4 linked regions of the Cricetulus griseus genome follow. The protein of the gene in region 1 interacts with the protein of each later gene in a biochemical or structural test. Links are inferred from orthologs where the notes say so. Each region holds a gene or a part of one and is shown in the gene's direction. Other genes may lie near its edges.

Region 1 (5,054 bases):
CCCCTCACTGACCTGGAGTTCACCAGAACAGGCTAGGTCAACTGGCCAGGGCACCCCAGGAATTGTCTTTAACTCCTCAGTGTTGGGGTTGCAGACTCACATGGGCTTTTTTATGTGAGTTTTGGGAATTGAACTCACAGATGTATGGCAGAATCTCACTGACCAGTTTCATTGCCTTCTCCTGGTTATGCCTCAGTGCCCTCATGTAAAATGCAGACCAGTAGCTCTACCCTCAAGGTGGTGCTAAAGTCTGAAAGAGTTAATATTTGGGACACTCTTAGAACAGGGCTTGACAGATACTGAGCACTCTCGGTGTTTGTATTTCAGAGCCTGCAGAGAGCAGGGTTTTACGTAGCAGCAATCTTATTCACTAATGACTACCTGGGTAATTTTCAAATTTCTCTCATACAAACAGTTCAGCTTGTTTATGCCTCTGGCAGCTGAAGCCAGTGTCTCTGCCGGCCAGACTTCTGCAAATGAGACTTCTAGATCAAAGGACACAAATGTTGCTCTGCTGGACTTGGACCCTAGGCTTTGACTCTTGGGATGGGAGCAGCCAGGCTTGATTGGGCTTTAAGTAAAGGACTTGGTGTGGATGGAGAGTGGTGTGTCAAGGCCTTCTGGGCCTCCTGCTCTCCATCTTCCTGCCCTACTCATTCCTCCTGATCCTTCTAGGAACCCTGCCTCCGGCGTTGCTCCCCTGAAGCCTGAGCAGCTCCAAGTGTTTGAAACCCTGGAGGAGATCACAGGTGGGCCCTGTCTTTCTGTGTCCTGCTCCATGGGGGCCAGGAGTTCTGGACCTTTCTGCATACCCGGCCCCCTCCTCTGCCCGCAGGTTATCTATACATTTCAGCATGGCCAGACAGCCTCCATGACCTTAGCGTCTTCCAGAACCTTCGAGTCATTCGGGGACGAATTCTCCATGAGTAAGTGTGTGGAGAGGGAGCCTAGGAGGCATGACACCACAGTAGCTTTTAACATGAGTTGACAGAGTGTTTTGAGGCAGGGGGAGGTACCTGTTGGCTGGAAATGGACCTAGAGTAGGTACCTCCTTGCAACTGGAAACTTTATTTCCATAGTGGCGCCTACTCATTGACGCTGCAAGGCCTGGGAATCCACTGGTTGGGGCTGCGTTCACTGCGGGAGCTGGGCAGCGGACTGGTACTCATTCACCGCAACACCCGTCTCTGCTTTGTACATACTGTACCTTGGGACCAGCTCTTCCGGAACCCGCACCAGGCTTTGCTCCACAGTGGGAACCAGCCAGAGGAGGAATGTGGTAAGACAGGAAGGCCAGCCCTGTGGGCCAGTACACAGAAGTGTCAATAGCCTCTGGCCTGTGCAAACCTTTTTAGCCCTGCTTTGTTGTTGTTTTGCGATAGGATCTCACTATGCAGCCCTGGCTGTCCTGGAGCTCACTCTGGATACCAGGCTGGCCTCAAACTCACAGGGCTCTGCCTGCTTCTGCCTCCCGAGTGCTGGGATTAAAGGCATGCCCACTGGAGCCATTCTTCACTTCCCAGTGATGGTTTGGCATTGTGACATGGCTTCCAGCTGTGTCCTTCCATGCTGCCCAAACATCCATCCCTTCCTTGTTGTTGAACCACAGAATTCTTCCTCACCCTGAATGTCCTGGCATCAACCCCTTTAGCCAGAGCCATGCTCATTCACAGCCTTTTTGCTTAGACCTGAGTGAGCCTCTCCTAATACCTCTCCTGCTTTTCTCCTCATTGCAGATCGCAAGGACTTGGCCTGCTACCCATTGTGTGCCCATGGGCACTGCTGGGGGCCAGGACCCACCCAGTGTGTCAACTGCAGTCACTTCCTTCGGGGCCAGGAGTGTGTGAAGGAGTGCCGAGTATCGAAGGGGTATGAGTAGCAGAGGAGTGGGGTGGCTTGAGGGGTACACACATGGGGACCTCCCAGACCCCTTACTATACCTGCCTCTCTTACAGGCTCCCTAGGGAGTATGTGGATGGCAAGCATTGTCTGCCATGCCACCCCGAGTGTCAGCCTCAAAACAACACAGAGACCTGCATTGGATCGGTGAGGTGCTGGTGGCCTCGAGGGGGGGGGAGATGGGACACGGACAGACAGACAGACAGACAGACAGACAGACACACACACACACACACACACACACACACACACACACGGGGACAGGACGACACCGGCAAGCAAAAGGGTACCGGGGGTCTGTTAAGTTGCTGCAGGGTAAAATGTTCCTAGAGAAGGCTCAGCTCAGACCTGGACAGCAGGAGGGGAGAAGGTCAGGAAGGCTGGAATGGGGGCACTGCTCTGCCCTCATTGTACTGTGGACCATGGGCTCTCCCTTCACGCTGGTGACACTGGAGCCCTTCAGACAGTCCCAAGAAGGCCTGTGTCCTTGGTTCTAGCTGTGCTAGGGACCACATCCAGGCCCTGTTTCCACCCTCAGTTTTCACTTCTATAAGGAGAATGTTGTAATAGTTCCTACCTGGTTGGGGTGTGGTGAGAATGAAATTAAATAGGATTTGGCACGGTGCCCAAGCACGGAAAAAACTTTGTACATAATAGTTGTCACTTGTCACACCTTAGAGAACGCACGTCCCTCTCTGGGTGCCTCCATTTCCTTGTAAAGAGCAGGGATGTTTACCCCAGTGACAGGGAGGCAGTGTTGCTGCAAGGTCAGGGACACAGGGCCTGGTCCTTCTGCTGTAGGGATGGTGATCCCAACCCCACAAACCCTTCCTCTCTATCCAGGAGGCTGACCAGTGTACCGCTTGCGCCCACTACAAGGACTCCTCCTCCTGTGTGGCTCGCTGCCCCAGTGGTGTGAAGCCAGACCTCTCCTACATGCCCATCTGGAAGTACCCGGATGCGGAGGGCATATGCCAGCCGTGTCCCATCAACTGCACCCACTCGTGAGTGGAAGGGTTTTTTTCTGTAGAAAGGAAGGCTTTCATGATAGTAGCCTCCCTGGAGCTCTTACTGTGAAAGGGGGATAAATCCACCTTCATTCATATTGAGATATAATTTTTTGTTTGTTTTTTTGTTTTGTTTTTCCAAGACTGGGTTTCTTTGTGTTAACAGTTCTCGCTGTCCTGGAACTTGCTTTGTAGGCCAGGCTGGCCTTGAACTCACAGAGATCTACCTGCCTCTGCCTCCTGAGTGCTGGGATTAAAGATGCATCACCACTGCTGGGCTGAGTGGTAATTTTTATATTTCTTTTCTAATTATAAAAATAACACAGGCGCTAGAGAGGTGGTTCAGTGGTTTAGAGAACTTGCTGTGCTTCCAGAGGGTTGGAACTTGGTTCCTAGCACACATATCAGGAGACTCAGGTTGCCTGTTAACTAGCGTCAGGAGATCTGGTCCTATTTTCCAGTCTCCGAGGGTACCCATTGCCCCTCTCCACCATACACACACTTCCCCACACACAAACCCACACACACACACATACCATACACACCACACAGGCTCATACATGTAAATAAAATTAAAAAATAACACATTGGGCTGGAGAGAGGCTCAATGGTTAAGAGCACTGGCTGCTCTTCCAGAGGTCCTGAGTTCAATTCCCAGCAACCACATGGTGGCTCACAACCATCCGTTATGAGATTTGGTGCCCTCTTCTGGAATATACATGGAAGCAGAATGTTGTATACGTAATAAATAAATAAATAAATAAATAAATAAATAAATAAAATCTTTTAAAAAAACACATTAGGGGCTGGAGAGGTGGTTCAGGGGTTAAGAGTGCTTGCTGCTTTTTCAGAGGACTGGAATTTGGTCCATCAGGAGACTCATGCTTTCTGTGAACTCTAGCCTCAGGAGCTCTAAGGCTTTTTTTCTGGCCTCTGCAGGTACACACATATACTCAGACACATACAGACATAAAAAATGAAAAACAACACATTAGAGGATGGCTCAGTGGGCAGAGAGGCACTTGCTCAAAAATCTGATGGTTTCAGTTAAATCACCAGGGAAAACAGTTCAAATTATCCACAGTAGAATTTCCAGCAGCGCCGGGCATTGGTGGCGCACACTTAATCCCAGCACTCAGGAGGCAGAGGCAGGAGGATCTCTGTGAGTTCGAGGCTGGCCTGGTCTACAGAGCGAGTGCCAGGATAGGCTCCAAACAATACAGAGAACCCTGTATCAAAAAAACCAAAAAAAAAAAAAAAAAAAAAAAAAAAAAAGAAAGAAAAAGAAAAAAAAAGAAAAAGAAAAGAATTGCTAGCAGCATTCTTTTATACCTCACATGGCAATTTAACATTTTAATGTGTTATTATAAAAATTATTCTAATTACATTTATTTGTGTATGTGTGTGCATGCTGAGCAGGCATGTGTGTGCATGACAGGTATTTGGAGGTCAGAGGACAACCTCCCGGAGTTGGTTCTCTCCTTTTACCATGTGGGTCCCAGGGATTGAACACAATCATCAGGGTTGATTGCAAATGCCCTTACCTGCTGAGCCATCTTGCCAAACAACATGTGAACCACCCTTCCTTCCTTCCTTCCTTCCTTCCTTCCTTCCTTCCTTCCTTCCTTCCTTCCCTCCCTCCTTCCTTCCCTCCCTCCTTCCTCCCTTCCTCCCTTCCCTCCTTCCTTCCTTCCTTCTTCTTTAAGACTTTGTTATTTTATGTGTATGGGGTATGTTTTAGTTAGGGTTTCTATTGCTGTGATAAACCCCATGATCTAAAGTAACTTAGGCAGAAAAAGGTTTATTTAACTCCCACTTCCACATCACAGTCCATCAGCCATGGAAGTCAGGGCAGGAACTCCAGACAGAAATCTGGAGGCAGGAATTGACAGAGGACATGGAGGCTTGCTCAGCCTGTCTGAACCACCAGCCCAGGAGTGGCACTGCCCACAGTGAGCTGTGCCTACCCAGATCCATCACCAGTCAAGAAAATGCACTAGGCTTGCACGTAGGCCAGTCTGGTGGCAGCATTTTCTCAGTTGAGGTTCACCTCTTCCCAAGTGACTATAGCTTATGTCAAGTTGACATAAAAGTGGCCAGTGCAGACTATGTGCACCATGTGTGTGCTGTGGACACCAGAAAAGGCAG
Region 2 (5,054 bases), about 20 Mb from region 1:
TGCCCCATGTATTCCTCTATAGAATACCTTCCAACCTGTATAAAAGCATAATAGTTTGAAAGCTTTTGTGCTAAGGGAATGCTATAGTATCTTGGCAAAAGATGGTTTGCCATTCAGAATAAGGACCCATCTACCTATGGTGTGTGGCTTCTATCTCTGGCAGGTGCCAAAGTTAGACTATTATCCTCTGATAATAGTTTGCCTTGAAACTTCCAGGCACCTATTTATTCCACACTGAATGTGATTTTCCAACTGGCTTTTCTCTTTGCTCCTTTAGTCCTCTGAGGCCTGCAAAAGATCTGGGCAGGGGCTGCATTTCTCCTCCCTCTCAATCCTGAGCCCACTGCCTCTTATTCTTTCACATAGAGCCCTGCAAGAAGCTCAGGAGATCTTTGGTGTGGACTTTGACTATGATGAATTTGAGAAATACAATGAATATGATGAAGAACTGGAGGAAGACTATGAGTATGAGGATGAAGAGGCTGAAGGTGAAATCCGAGTGCGCCCCAAGAAAACCACCAAGAAGCGTGTAAGCCGTAGGAGCATCTTTGAGATGTATGAGCCCAGTGAACTGGAGAGCAGCCACCTCACAGACCAGGACAATGAAATCCGAGCCACTGACTTGCCTGAGAGGTTCCAGGTAAGAAACCACAATGAGTAGTATTCGTCATAGACTCTGAAGCCCATCCAACTCAGGTCCATGGAGTCTGTTACCTATTTATTCTGGCAGTACTGGGAATTAAACTTGATCCTCTTTTTTTTTTTTTTTTTCTCGTTTTATTTTGAAACAGAGTCTCACTAACTTAGGCTGGCCTTCAACTGACTCTAGCCCAAGCAGGTCTTAAACCTCAGCCTCCTGAGTAGCTAGGATTACAGGTCTGACATTGAAATGGCATTCTTTTTTTCTTTTTCTTTTCTTTCTCTTTTTTTTTTTTTTTGCTTGTTTGTTTTGTTATTTTTATTGTTTTGTTTGTTTTGAGGCGGGCTCTCATGTAGGCCATAATAACTCAAACTTAGTAGCCAAGGATGACCTTAAATTAAATTTCTGATTCTCTTGCCCTTTTCTGGGGGGGCGGGGCACAGAGACAGGGTTTTTCTGTGTAGCCTTGACTGTCCTGTAACTCTATTGACTAGGCTGGCCTCGAACTCACAGAGATCCGCCTGCCTCTCCCTCCTGAGTGCTGGGATTAAAGGTGTGCATCACCACTGCCCAGCATGAAATGGTATTCTTAACAGATCTGGAAAATACTCATTTCATGTCAGGTGACCTTAGAATGTGCCTAAGGATCACATGCTTCTGTTAGAAGTCGTATAGGTTTTTCCCTAAGCAGGATACAGAGTAAAAATGTCTCACCCTCTTATCCACTCCAGCTCCGCTCCATCCCTGTCAAGGCAGCTGAAGATGATGAGCTAGAAGAAGAAGCTGACTGGATCTACAGAAATGCCTTTGCCACACCAACCATTTCCCTACAGGTACTCACAAGTCTTTACTTCAGAGGCTAGAAAGCTGGCTGGGTGGATAGAAGCACTTGCCCTTACAAAGAACCTGGATTTGGTTCCCAGCACCCACATAGTAGCTTACAACTGCCTTTACATGGAGTTCTATGGGTCCTATTCCCTCTTCTGACCTCTGAGGGCACCAGGCACTTACATGGTACATATATATACATGCAGGCAAAGCATTCATACTCATAAAATAAATGTTAAACGTTCTGACATGAACCAGAGGCCAGTTGATGAAAATGAGAACCTATTCCTTCCCTGTATAATGCTTCTGTATGCCTGGGAAAGTGTATGTGTATACATATATACAAGAAAAATTTTAAGCCTGGCATGGTGGCCCAAACCTTTAATCCCACCACTCAGGAGGCAGAGGCAGGCGGATATCTGAGTTAGAGACCAGCCTGGTCTACAAAGCTCAAGTTCCAGGACAGCCAAGGCTACACAGTAAAACCCTATCTTGAAAGACCAAAAGAGGGGCTAGAGAGATGGCTCAGTGGTTAAGAGCACTGACTGTTCTTCCAGAGGTCCTGAGTTCAATTCCCAGCAACCACATGGTGGCTCACAACCACCTTGAATGAGATCTGGTGCCCTCTGCTGGCATGCAGGCACAAGACTGTATACATAATAAATTTAAAAGAAAGAAAGACCAAAAGAAAGAAAGAGATGGAAAAAAAAATTTTTTTTTAGATTTCCTCAGAAAAGGCTATCACGTTATGAAGCTCTTGTGTGGTGAGAGAGAGGGTAGCATGACTTGCTGGTTTTGTTTTGTTTTTGCCTCTTAATATAGGAAAGCTGTGATTACCTAGACCGTGGACAGCCAACCAGTAGCTTCAGTCGCAAAGGACCCAGCACAATTCAGAAGATCAAAGAGGCCCTGGGCTTCATGCGGAATCAGCATTTTGAGGTAGCTCCTTGAGCTCAAGTAACCCAGTGGTTAGAAATTCATTAGAATTTAGGGGATGGGCTGGAAAGATGGCTCAGAGGTTAAGAGCATTAACTGCCCTTCCAGAGAGAGGTCCTGAGTTTAATTCCCAGAAACTACATGATGGCTCACAATGATCTTTAATGAGACCCAATGCCCTCTTCTGGCCTGCAGGAAAACATGCAGACATAATAAATAAATAAATATTTTTTTAAAAAAATTACAGGATGAGGCAAGAGGTAGCTACAATCAAGTGGTAAACCCCCTTCCTTATCCTTAGGAGTCTCTTAACTCAAGAGTGTTATGACTAAGCCAGGCACTGGTGGCGCACACCTTTAATCCCAGCACTCCGGAGGCAGAGGCAGGCAGATCTCTGAGTTCAAGGCCATCCTGGTCTACAGAGCAAGTACCAGGACAGCCTCCAAAGCCACAGAGGAACCCTGTCTCTAAAAACAAAAAACAAAAACAAAAAACCACACAAACAAACAGTGTTATGACTAGCAAGGGGCACTAGTGACCATGGGGACAAGATTTCCTGTCTTCAATGTTACCTACTCCACTGGAGAAAACACTTTCCTGGATAGCCATTTGGAGAGGCTATTCTTGTACTTATGATTTTGTGGAGCTATTAGACTAGGAAATCGTTACCCTTTAGCAGAGAAGATATTTGCAGCTCTTTCTTCTGCTTGACAGCAGTATTCTTGCTACTGTAGGTGCCTTTTATTGCCTTCTACCGAAAGGAATATGTGGAACCTGAATTGCACATCAATGACCTGTGGAGAGTGTGGCAGTGGGATGAAAAGGTAACATGGACAGAAGGCCCACAAGGAGCTAAGAACCAGTATCAGGATGCTACAGCTCTGACTTCCAGAACTGCCAGCTTACCCCATGGGGGCTTCTGCTAAAGGGAACAGAAGACTTGGGTCTCCAGGGCTTAACACCAGACCTCACTCCTGCCTTTCTCTGCCCTAGTGGACTCAGCTGAGAATCCGAAAAGAGAACCTAACAAGGCTGTTTGAGAAGATGCAGGCTTATCAGTATGAGCAAATCTCTGCTGACCCCGACAAACCTCTTGCTGATGGCATCCGGGCTTTGGATACTACTGATATGGAGAGGTAGGACATGCAGGTTTTATTCTGTTACAGGGAGCGGCCAGACTGAAGGCAGGTCCTCAGGAACACTGTTACTTTGCAGAATTTGCAGCATGGGGCCCCAACCCTTAGAACCCAAATTGTTAATACATCAAAAATGATTCCCCCCCCCCAGGGTCTCTGTGTAGCTCTGTCTGTCCTAGAATTCACTGTGTATACCAAGTTGGCATCGAACTCATACAGATACACCTGAAGGGGAAGCTGTAACCACGCCTACTTAGGGGCTGGCTACAGGTGTGCCTGACCACGCTTGAGAGGGAGTGGTCAGAGTGATGTAGTGTGACTGTGTTTGCTCTTTCGGTTTCTCTTTTGGGCTTGCATACAGACTGCTGCCACGCTGGCTGGCTAGGTCGCTCTGTAAGTAAGGCTTTTCCCTATTAAATACCCTTATATTTCTACCTGACTCCGTATTGGTAATTCCCACTATATATACCTGCCTCTGCCTCCCAAGTGGGACTGAAGGTCTATGCCACCATGCCCAACTAAAAGTGAATTTTCTGGCTGAACGGTGTTGGAAGGTAGAGCTTGGAAGATCATGAGTTGAAAGTCATCTATATAAAACTCCATGGGGAGCAGGGGAATAGTCTGACAGATTTGATTCATTTTAGTTTTCCATATAACTATATAGAAAACAAACTGACTTATTTACCAAGCCTTTGTATCAAGTATTCACATTTGGTAATAATATGCATTTATTCCATGTTGGTAATGCTACATAAGAGACAGTTTATATTTAATTTGGTAGCCTGAATAATGTGGTATTGGAGGGCAACAGGTGGTTTTGGTGGATAGTATTTACAAGCTGAGTAGTAGTTTCAAAGACTGAACTTCACTAAATGTGTTGCCTGGTCTGCCTCTTCCTTATACTGCTTTTTTTTTTGTTTTGTTTTGTTTTTTTGAGGTAACTGTGCAGCCCATACTGACCTGAGACTTGTAACCTAGTCTGTTTCTAGTGCTGAGATTATAGATGTGTGGTGCCACACCTGGCCTTTGTACTTTCATTTCTAATAATTACCACTAACCATTTCAATTTGACATGTTTTGTGTATGTGTGTATATATTTTTACAAGATTTCATACGGTACAGTCTGGCCTCAAAGTCCTAATATTTCCACCTCTCAAGTTCTAGGACACCACTCCCAGCTTACTTGTTTGTTTTTGAAATAGGCTATTGTTGAATGTCCCAGGCTGATGTTGGGCTTTTGGCAGGCCTCTTGCTTGAGTCTCTAACTATTACAACCGTGCACTGCCACTCCCAACAACTTATATTTCTTTAAAATATCCTGGCTGTGTAGTCTGGGACTGCTGTGTGGCTTTGCTCATCTTACTTGATCTTGCTTCTTGGGAATTAGAAGTATTACAGCAAAGCTTGTCCCCAGTAATAGAATCTTGCATCTTTCCCCTGCAGGCTCAAAGATGTACAGTCAATGGATGAACTGAAAGATGTTTACAACCATTTCTTACTTTACTATGGTCGTG
Region 3 (5,054 bases), on another chromosome or scaffold:
CCCTTTTGTTCATTTTTCTGAACCAAAAGGGGAGCCCTCCATACAACACATACCTCAGATACAGAGAAGCATTTGGCCAAGGGAAGGCTTTACACTCACAGCCCTGCAGCAGGTGACACTAGGAGCTGAAGTGACCCCATTAAAGGAATGCACAGTGAAGTGTATGGAGGTTAAGCATGCACTTCAGAAAACCTCATTCCTAACCATACCTGTTGGCGATGCTAGGGCCATAGGATCACCACAGCGATGACCAAGAAAACCACATACAAAGGAGCAGAGGAAGAAAACGCTTTGTGTTTTTGAATTCCTTCTGTAAGCACCTATCAGAAAAGAGGATTTTTTTTTTCTTTCTAGTTGCTAACCGGAAAACAAGTCTGTGATTTCACTAAGTCATGTTGTCATCCTACTCTCAGTACAAACTGGGGCTTGTTTCTTCTATCTGCACCCTGTGGAGAGTCCGAGTAGGCACCTTATATGTCAATTATTTTGCATTTTCTCTCAGGAGTCCCCAATTGACCAAAGGCCAGCAGCATGACACAGTCTGACAGGGAACTAACTACAGTGAAGCTACAATAAGAGCCAGTCCAGACAAATTGCCAAGGATGGGGCTCACTCAGCACAGTGACTGGGGAACTTTTAAGTAAAAGCCCCCTTTATACAGAGTTGTTTGGGCACAAGGTTCCTCTTCAGAATGAGGAACCTCTATGAAATGCTGTTGGTAAGAGCCCTAGGCCTGAGCTGCTAGCGTCTTACTTTTCGCTTGTCTCTCGGGCAGCCCTCAAAACCACTGTTGCAAGAAGTGTCACATTTTAACCACAGCTGCGCAGTGACCTTTCTTATGTCTTTGCAGACTGTGGAAGGTGCTCCAAAACAGATCTTTCCGAACCTAGAAGAATTAGTCTCCAAGTATGAAAAGCCAGGTCAAGGTCTGGTGATTCACCTTTCAAACCCAATGATGAGAAGCGGCTTCTGCCCAAGAGGGAGAAGGATGAAGTTAGAGATGAATGTTTATGGTAAGAGCCCTGACAAAGGGTCAGGAGGGACCCCGAAGCCTGCGTCCAGCTCTACTCTGTAGAGTTGATGGAAATTGCTGACTTGGTCTAGGACATTAAAGAGCTTCATCTTGCTAAGTGCAATTTCTACTGTACTGAGAAACAATATCTCCTAGCCCCTGCAAGTGGCCAAGACATAGAGTTGTCTGTGCTAGGACAACCAGGAAGGCAAGGAAAGGTCCTGACCAAAAAGCTGACTTGGGTTTCATTCTGTGGGCATGCGCAGTCCACCATGGTAATAAATGCACATGTGGGCAGGTTTTCACTGAAAAGACTCATGTCAAATCACCCACCAAGGCTTATCCTATTACATTTTGTTCAATCTTTGCTAAGCATTCATTTATAAAATGATCAGGGACAAATTATTTCATATATATATATATCCCTAAAGGTATGAAGCCACCGAGACACGGCGGGGTGGGGTGGGGGTGGGGGTCAGCACGTGTGAGGAAAGTCTGTTCACAGCACTCTCAGATCATATTTCGAGCTTACCCTCATCTTCATCATCTGCCCATTGCGGCAAATTTTGAATTAAACACAGACATGCAGAGACGTTTCTGGTCCCACCCAATCGCTCATGATGAAATGTGTGGTTTCATTTTGTGTGAGAGGGATTGCAGTTGTCTGTGGGTGGCAATGGTGATGACAGCAGATCTACTAACTAGGGAGAAAGATGAGAGGGCACGAGCTCTCAGGGAGCCTGCCAGCATCCATGCTATTCTGCCTGAGCAAAGTCCCTTTTTTCGGCTGCCGTGGTAAGCTTCTCATTTCTCTAAAAAGATAAAGCGTGAGATTTTAATGACTAAAATAAAACCTTGCCCCCCTAACATTACTTCCAGCCATTCATCATCATTCAGGGGATTGTGTGGACAATACAATCTGATAATTTCGTTTAAGTCCAGCCACAGATATAGCCGCACTGCTCTTTTCCATCAAAACTTACAGAATTAGGAAGTCTGAAAGGGCTGGAGAAATAGCCCGGTTGGTAAAGTGCTTGCCTTGCTTGTGTGAGGCCCTAAGTTGGATCCCTAGAAATGATGGCTTTGAAAATCTGTACAACGTGGCACATGCTTGTAATCTCAGTGCTGAAGAAACAGACACAGGTAGATCCATGGGGCTTCCTGACCATCACACCTGGTGAGCTCCAAGCCAGAGGAAGACCTTGTTTCAAAAAATAGAGTAGATGGAGCCTGAAGAACAACATGTCAGGCTAACCTCTGACCACACACAGGCACCCTTGTGTAGATACACCTGCATACATACCTATATACATGCATGCACACACACACACCCAAAGGTATTAAGGGGAAGAAAGCATAAAGGTGTCAAAGCCAGACACTTGTGCAAATCAAGATGAGTTGCTGGGAGTGGCTGGGATGGTAATACTTTTGTCTGAGGTATAATGAAAGGCTACTAAATCCCTGGAAGAGAATGGGCTTGGGAGAGGTCTTTCCCAAGAACTGGACATGGGTCTGGCCACACCAATTTTCCAAGCATAGTCAGACTTGGTAGAGTGTGCTCCACGTACTTAGCTACCAAAGGGGAAATGCCTTCCCTTCCTCTTGCCTCCTCAGAACCAGCTCCATGCAGAGCTACTCTGACGAAGGCATGGGATTTTCACTGGTGAAGGTAGACACTGAGTACTAGAAACTAAGGATCCACTTATCAAAAAGCAAAAACAAACAAAAAACAAACAAACCCTATTTGTCCAAGCAAGTCCCTAGTGCCACTGCAGCCTTTGAAGATGTCTCTTTGATGTGGCATCAGCACTGCTTTGTGCCTGGTGTCCTTTTCCTCGAGTTGGGATGGCTGGTGGGACTTCTGGGTGTGGCATCTCATGGCTGTCCTTTGCTTTTCCCCAGAGAACACTAACGAGGACTATGTGGATATCTTGCCTTGAAGACAAGGACATAGGACAAAACAAGCTAAGGGAGGGCTGAGATGGCAGAGCTCTCAGCGGCCACCACCTCTGCAAGTGTCTATCTAAAATGCCAACTTCTAGAGGGCCTCTGAGACCCTCCTGACCTGGGTAGCAGGATCTTCTCAACTGAAGCCTTGGAGAAGTCCCTTCCCACATGTCTGACTCCTGGCACACTCACAAGAAGCTCCAAAGCCACCGTCACCTGTTACTCTCCTATCTTGGAATTGGACAGCCGGAATCCAGGCATTGCCATTGCATCCTGGCTGACAACATCTAACAGGACAAAGGGAAGGGCAGCTTCATAGAAAGGAAACAATACTCTGTAGTAACTTCAGAGTCCCCAACCTGTGTTCTGTGACTTTTGGCAAACCGCCCTCTCTGGTGTGGTTGAGTGGTTCACACACACTAACCTGGACCCTCTGTTGAGCCTGGTTGTCCCAGGTGGAGCTGGCGTCTGAGCAGAGGAATCAAGGTCTAAGGATGCTGAAGAAGCAAACATGTCCTCCAGCTGTGGAGGTCTTGGTCCTGATGAGGGCTGTGACCCACCAATGTTCCCTTTCCCTCTCGTTTGACCTAGCCCCATCTCTTCAAAGGTTGACTTCCTGCCAGGCATTCCTCTGGCCTCGGTTTTTCCTGATTTTCCCCAAGTCTGTATATACAGCAATCACTTTGTCAGCTCTGCCTTTTGATAAATGTGATAATAATATTTATTTTATTATTATTTTTTATTAGCATACAGAGAAATGGGTTTTATTCTGACCTTTTTATATCTATAAATCATTACACTTTGGGGGTCTTTTTTTTTGTTTTTGTTTCTTTTTTTTTTTTTGAGACAGAATCTGAGTCTAGCCCAAGTTAACCTCAAACTCTAACTTTATGCCTCAGCCTCCTATGTGCTGGGGTTACAGGTGCATGCGATCTCTGTGACCAATATGCTCTTCTTTCTTGACCTTCCCCTGTACTGCCCCATCCTTTGCACCTTGCCGTGACACTCCTATCCCCAAAGAGACCGCCTTCTGCCTATATTTCATTGCCTTCCTTCCACTTTAGACCTCTTGCTCCTGTCTCATAGTCCGGGTTTCTGAATTTTCATGTCCTCCATACATATGTATTTATACATATAAATTTAAATCTGGATCTTACATATGAGAAAAATGTGGTTTGTCCTTCTGAATCTAATAAACTTCACGCAACAAAATGATCTTCGGGTCTGTCCATGTTTTCTTGTGTGAGAATGCTGGAAGTTCATTGTTCTAATTCCATTGCGCATGTGTACCAATGTGTGGCTGTTTTAAAGATGTTCTCGCATGGGTGGTTCCATTCCTGCCTGTGTTCTAAATGCCATCAGAGCATGCCCTCCCTGCACATAGGAGTTATGGACTGCAAGCATTTTTCTGAAGGGTTGGATGAGCTGACTTTAAGGCCTCTTGAGTTTTTCTGCTAGTTCAAAAGGTTAAACTAAAGCTGGACATGTATCTCAATGGTAAAGCACTTGCTTAGCATGTACAAGGCCTTGGTTCAATCACCAGCATATAGAAAAGAAAAAGGGAGGGAGGGAGAGAGGGAGGCAGAGATGAAGGAGGCTAATTAAGGCCTGGTTAGAAGCCAAGTGTGACAATATACATCTGAAACCCTAACCACTTGGGGGATTGAGAATTTGAGGTCAGCCTGGGCTGCACAGTGAATGAAAACGATGACGTGGTTGCTCCAAGGTAATGGTTAAGGAGAAAGTTTTATTGTAGATATGAGGGAGAGAACAGCCAGAGTCATCTGGAAGGGTCCAGGCTGAACTGGGCCAGCAGACTGAATGGACCATGGAGGAGTAAGGAGCAAAAGGGGAAGAGAATAGAGAGAAACAGAGAACATGAGAACTAAGAGACTAGGGAGGAGCCAGGAACCGAGAGAGCCGTAGCCACACGGTTGAGTTTACACAGGAAAGAGAAGCTGGGAGAGAAGGAGCCCCGGAAGTGTTGGGAGGCACCACAACTACTGAAGGAAACATTCCCCCTGGTTTCTTTGGGACCTGACACACAGTAAGATCCCTTCTCAAAAATAGTAAAGAAGCATCCCAGTTAGTGCAG
Region 4 (5,054 bases), on another chromosome or scaffold:
TCAGGAAACAAAGCCACAGAGAGGGGAAAGCACTTGCCCCACTTCCATGTGGTTCTGATTGATTGTTCTGTGTTTCTGATACCACACATTGATAAGAGGCCAAAGGGGCCAGTCCACCATTTGTGACATGCTGGGTGTCCAGACCCATAGGAAAAGCCACCTCTGATGGCCACAAGGGACTGGTGCCTGCTGGTGGTAAGGAAAACCTAGCACTGTTGGAGACCACCTATTTTCAAGACCTATAGTAATCTTATTTGTAGCATAAATCTGTAAATGAGAAATTTGAATTGATTTAAAGGAAAGGAAGTCAGCGAATGTAACACAGAGGGTTGCAATTATGACAGAAACCACATATCATAAGAAAAATTGCTTTGCTGTGGTCAGTGAATGTGGCCTTTAAAGTCAGGTGAAGATATGGACGGCTTTCCCATGACCTGCCCTGACAGGCTGGGTGACCTTGAACAAACTCTCTGGAATGGAAAGCTCAAAGCTGACTCAGAATTCTGAAGGCTCAGTTCAACTATATGAGAAAATTCAAAGTTGTTTAGTTACTTTCTCCTTTCCTCTTGTCTTGAAAGTCAGGAGCCATTGAAAGCTCAGTGAGGGCGTAATTTCCCTTTCTGAGTTAAAGGGAAAATTCAGAAATGATCCTAAAGTTTCAAATTTAGGAAGAGGAAGTAAGGAGTTGACGATTGCGTCTGAGGTAAAATATTCCATAAGGCAGAGTGAGGAGGAGACATGGCTCAGCAGACAGAGTGAGAACTGGAATTCAAATCTCTAGCACCCGTATAAAAAATGAGGTACATTATCCCAGCAAATGGGAGGCACAGGAGGGACCCCCCAGAATATGCAGCTAGCTTGACTACCCAGTCATTGAGTTCTAGGGCCAAGTGACAGGCCCTGTCTAAGGTGGAGAGTGATAGAGGAAGACATGTAATGTCAGCCTTAGCCTCCCCAAACACCACACACACACACACACACACACACAGAGGATGGGAGCTTGGGCCTGTATTTTTCTCCATAGAGTCTGGCATGAAGGGAGAAATTGAACTTGAAAAGGTGGAGCTGACATGCAGAGATCTTGGCACTAGTACTTATCACTTGGCAAAATTGATCTCAAATTGAAAGTAGGCTCTTAAGGGAAAGGAACAACACCATGGGACAGTGAGATACAGCTCAGTGGGTAGAGGCACCCACTGCCAAGCCTGCTGACCTAGGTCCGAGGCCTAAAACCCACTCACATGGTAGGAGAGAACTGACTCTAAGAGTTATCCCTGATGTCCACACATGCTCTCACACACATGCACACAGACACTCACACACATGCATCCCCACACACGTGCACTCACACACATACACACATGCACTCAAACACACACACACATACACACATGCATTTACACATACACTCTCACACATATTCACACACATGCATCCACACACACGTGCACTCACACACATACACACATGCACTCAAACACTCACACACATACACACATGCACTTACACATGCACTCAAATACACACACATGCACACATGTACTCACATGCATCCCCACACACGTGCACTCACACACATACACACATGCACTCAAACACTCACACACACACATTCACACACATGCATGCATTCATACACATTCATCCCCCCACACACATGTTCTCATACGTATACACACATGCTCATACACATGTACTCACACACATGCACACAAAATGATAAACAGAAATGTAATTTAAAATTTTTGTAAAAAGAAACCAGACTATAGGAAATAGTAATGTCACAGGGAGAGCTTGGGGCCTCCACATGTGTCTAGAAGAGTGCCCATGTTAAGGATGTTGGGTGGGAACCAAAGAGTCCTTCCTTCCTTCCTACCTTCCTTCCTTCCTCCCCTTTTTCTTTTCCTTTCCTTTCCTTTCCTTTCCTTTCCTTTCCTTTCCTTCCCTTCCCTTCCCTTTCCTTTCCTTTCCTTTCCTTTCCTTTCCTTTCTCTTCCCTTCCCTCCCCTCCCCACACCTCCCTTCCCTTGCCTTCCCTTCTCTGGGAACTGAACTTAGAGCCTCACGCATGCTAGGTGACCTCTCTACCACTAAACTGTGTTCACAGCCCATGACCTCTTTCTTCAACAATGTTCATTTTCACACCTAGAGTATGGCCCACAGCTTGTCAGGGTCACTCACCTAGAAATGGTATTGGGTACAAATGATGCCCACGCACTTGATCATTTGATGAGGCCAGTGGACCACCATCCCTGGTGTTCTGGGCCGATAAGCAGAGTGACCAGCCCATTGTCCTGTCTGTTATGTCTGTTCCAGCTGTGCGCTCACTGGCGGAGATCAGATCGGAAGATGAGTTGAGTCAGCTTTTCCCAGAAGCCATGTTTCCTGTCTGTCCTGAGGGTGGTGACAGTCTGGAGGGATCCATGGAACTGCTAAAGAAAGGTCTAGAAAGTGGTACAGTGCTGATCCAGTTCGAGGTAAGGGGATCCCAGGGCCTGAATCTCCACCCAGTTACTGCCACTCACCATGTGCCTCTGCTGCAGCTTAGTAGCAAGCTGGAGCATGGTCCTGTCTCCTTGGCCAAGATGACTCTGGTTCACAGGCCTCAGACTAGAGAGTCTCAGTGAGGACATACGACCCAGGTCTGATGGGGGCCTCTTCTCAGGCTCAGAGTGATGAAGCATCAGGTGAAGGCCCAGGACCTCTTCCAGCTGTTCAGCCCTCCCACTGACTTCTAGCAGCAATCTGTAGGCAGGGCTGGCCTGTCAGTAACTGAGGATGAGGGGGCTCTGAACCTATGGAGCTGCCAGCAGGAGCTTAAAACTCCACAGCACAGAAAATGGTGCCATCCACATGATGGTGGCAGGTTAGCACTCTACCCCCAACTACACTTGGGGTTTAGAGAGTTGGTATCACACCACGAGGGCACAGTGTCTCATCTTCCAAGGCCACCAGACCACAGAAACATAGAGTCTGTGCTGTCTTCTCAGGAAGGATGGCTCTGGAGTACGCAGGGTCATGCCTCATCTGCAGCAGTGCCCGCAGAGGCCTTTCACACAACCCCAAAAGCACAACTGCTTCCAAACCAGTTTTATCCACTAGTAATCGAATGAAAACAGAATGTGTTCATCTGCCATGTGTGTTTGAAGGTAGAAGAGAGCAGTTGTTTACGAAATGAACAGGTGCCTCATGCATAGTACCTCAGCGTGCTGGAGGCTGAGGCAGGATGATCTCAAGTTTGAGCCTAGCCTGGACCACATAGTAAGACCCTGTCTCAGAAAGGCGGTTGGGGTAGGGAGAAGAGAAGAAAGAAGGCAAAAGAATCTACTTAACATTTTTACACAGTTAACAATGCTGAACATGGCCTCAGCTCACAAAGTAGGGATAAGAGGCGCCAGTGAGATTCAGAAACAGATCAACAGCACATAATTTACTAGAAAAACCCTGGAAGGAAAAACACTAGGAAAGGTGGGCAATTTGTCAAATATATTGACTGCAGAGTGACTCAGGAAGAAAGTGTAGCACAGCTGGCAGACAAAAGGGAATGCCAAGCAGAAAGCCTTAAGCAAAAGACTTACCCTACAGTAGCCTAGGGCCCAGAATGTAAATTATTTGAGAGCAGTGTGAGTTGAACAGCAGTAGAAAGAACTCCATGGGAGAAAAAGCAAAGGTAGTTGACTCTTCCCTTCCACCCCCCCACCACTAGAAGATTCTCAGTTTTTTTAATTAGCCGGTTGTCTAGACAAGTAACATAAAAGTTTGCATCTTGTGGTGGTGATATTTGGGTGAGAAATTGTGACATGAACACTCTAGAGTAATTAAAGCAAGGATGCAAATCTAGGCTCAGATTCCATGAGTTTCTTCCTTTTGGTGCTGAGGATGCTGTGAACTAGGAGGGCATTGGTGGACTATTTGTTGATTCAGCTAGTATGTCTGAGGTACTCTGGGAGCATGGTGAGGGATGGAGAAGGAGGCGTCTAGCCATAAGGAGCTTGCTGTCTAATTTTAGTATATTTCGGGGGCTGTATCATGAGAGCAAGCAAGACAGGATAAGATTTTAAAATTGTGAGTGTATGTTCCCTGGCAACTGGTAATTCTAGTTGATCAGGAAATCCACAAGGAGGCACTGTGGACTCTCCTTGGGAACTTGAAGCCAAGCTCTTTGATTAACTAAAGCCTTCTCTGTGCTCTTGGCTCAACTTTGGTGTGCTTTTGACGTCTAGGAAGCCCCCATAAGGTTCTCCTTGCAATGATTTCATCAGCTCCTAGAAGGTTTTTAAGAGTATTTCTTTTTCGTCGCTAGAAGTCCAGAGCCCTATCCTTTGCGCCACGGAGCCACCTTTGAAAATATTTCTTAAAGGGTGAGCCTGTAGCCCCTTGTATAGAAATCACATGAGGAGCCGTGAACCTAGCCCACAACTACCAGACATTGGTGCATTTTGTTTCCTTTTGGTTTGGTTTGATTTTGTTTTTGTTTTTTTGAAACAAGGTTTCTCTGTGTAGCTTTGGAACCTGTCTGTCCTGGAACTCACTGTGTAGACCAGGCTGGCCATGAACTCACAGAGGTCCACCTGCCTCTGCCTCCCAAGTGCTGGGATTAAAGGCGTGTGCTACAATTGCCTGGCCAGACATTGGTGTTTTAACAAAGTCGCTGAGAGTTTGTGTGTGTGTGTGTGTGGTGGGGGACACTAATTTGTTATTATTAGCGCATGATATGGAAGTGGGCTTGTGCCACAGTGTGCATGTGGAGGTCACAGGACAGCCATGTGAAATCACTTATTTTCTTTTTTGTTTTGTTTTGCTTTTTTAAGACAGGATTTCTCTCTGTGGCTCTGGCTGTTCTGGAACTTGCTCTGTAGATCAGGCTGACCTGGAACTCAGAGATCCACCTGCCTCTGCCTCCCAAGTGCTGGGATTAAAGGCCTGTGCCACCACCACCTGGTTCATTTATTTTCTTATGTGTGGGTTTTGGAGATTGAACTCACGTTGCCAGACTTTCGCATCAGGCACCTCTCCTGCGCTCACTTGAGGTTTTGATGTTTCAATTGATCCCAG

Evidence for each region.
Region 2: the proteins of Erbb2 (region 1) and Supt6h form a complex in vitro, tested with the Homo sapiens proteins (2 studies listed by BioGRID and IntAct, with this or other methods). The link is inferred for Cricetulus griseus from reciprocal best matches to the Homo sapiens genes ERBB2 and SUPT6H.
Region 3: the proteins of Erbb2 (region 1) and Sh2d1b form a complex in vitro, tested with the Homo sapiens proteins (2 studies listed by BioGRID and IntAct, with this or other methods). The link is inferred for Cricetulus griseus from reciprocal best matches to the Homo sapiens genes ERBB2 and SH2D1B.
Region 4: of the proteins of Erbb2 (region 1) and Ptpn3, one has a biochemical effect on the other in vitro, tested with the Homo sapiens proteins (2 studies listed by IntAct, with this or other methods). The link is inferred for Cricetulus griseus from reciprocal best matches to the Homo sapiens genes ERBB2 and PTPN3.

What each region holds. Positions count from the first base shown.
Region 1 is NC_048600.1:111,549,931-111,554,984, forward strand, and holds part of Erbb2 (receptor tyrosine-protein kinase erbB-2), read left to right. Parts: intron 1-675; coding exon 676-749; intron 750-835; coding exon 836-926; intron 927-1,079; coding exon 1,080-1,279; intron 1,280-1,736; coding exon 1,737-1,869; intron 1,870-1,955; coding exon 1,956-2,046; intron 2,047-2,742; coding exon 2,743-2,903; intron 2,904-5,054. UniProt on the Homo sapiens protein: Protein tyrosine kinase that is part of several cell surface receptor complexes, but that apparently needs a coreceptor for ligand binding. Essential component of a neuregulin-receptor complex, although neuregulins do not interact with it alone.
Region 2 is NC_048600.1:91,616,862-91,621,915, reverse strand, and holds part of Supt6h (transcription elongation factor SPT6), read left to right. Parts: intron 1-366; coding exon 367-640; intron 641-1,371; coding exon 1,372-1,473; intron 1,474-2,290; coding exon 2,291-2,407; intron 2,408-3,138; coding exon 3,139-3,228; intron 3,229-3,397; coding exon 3,398-3,540; intron 3,541-4,983; coding exon 4,984-5,054.
Region 3 is NC_048598.1:22,544,647-22,549,700, reverse strand, and holds the end of Sh2d1b (SH2 domain-containing protein 1B), read left to right. Parts: intron 1-850; coding exon 851-1,013; intron 1,014-2,914; coding exon 2,915-2,952; 3' UTR 2,953-4,174; downstream 4,175-5,054. UniProt on the Homo sapiens protein: Cytoplasmic adapter regulating receptors of the signaling lymphocytic activation molecule (SLAM) family such as CD84, SLAMF1, LY9 and CD244. In SLAM signaling seems to cooperate with SH2D1A/SAP.
Region 4 is NC_048595.1:86,666,614-86,671,667, forward strand, and holds part of Ptpn3 (tyrosine-protein phosphatase non-receptor type 3), read left to right. Parts: intron 1-2,180; exon of another isoform or gene 2,181-2,315; coding exon 2,316-2,476; intron 2,477-5,054.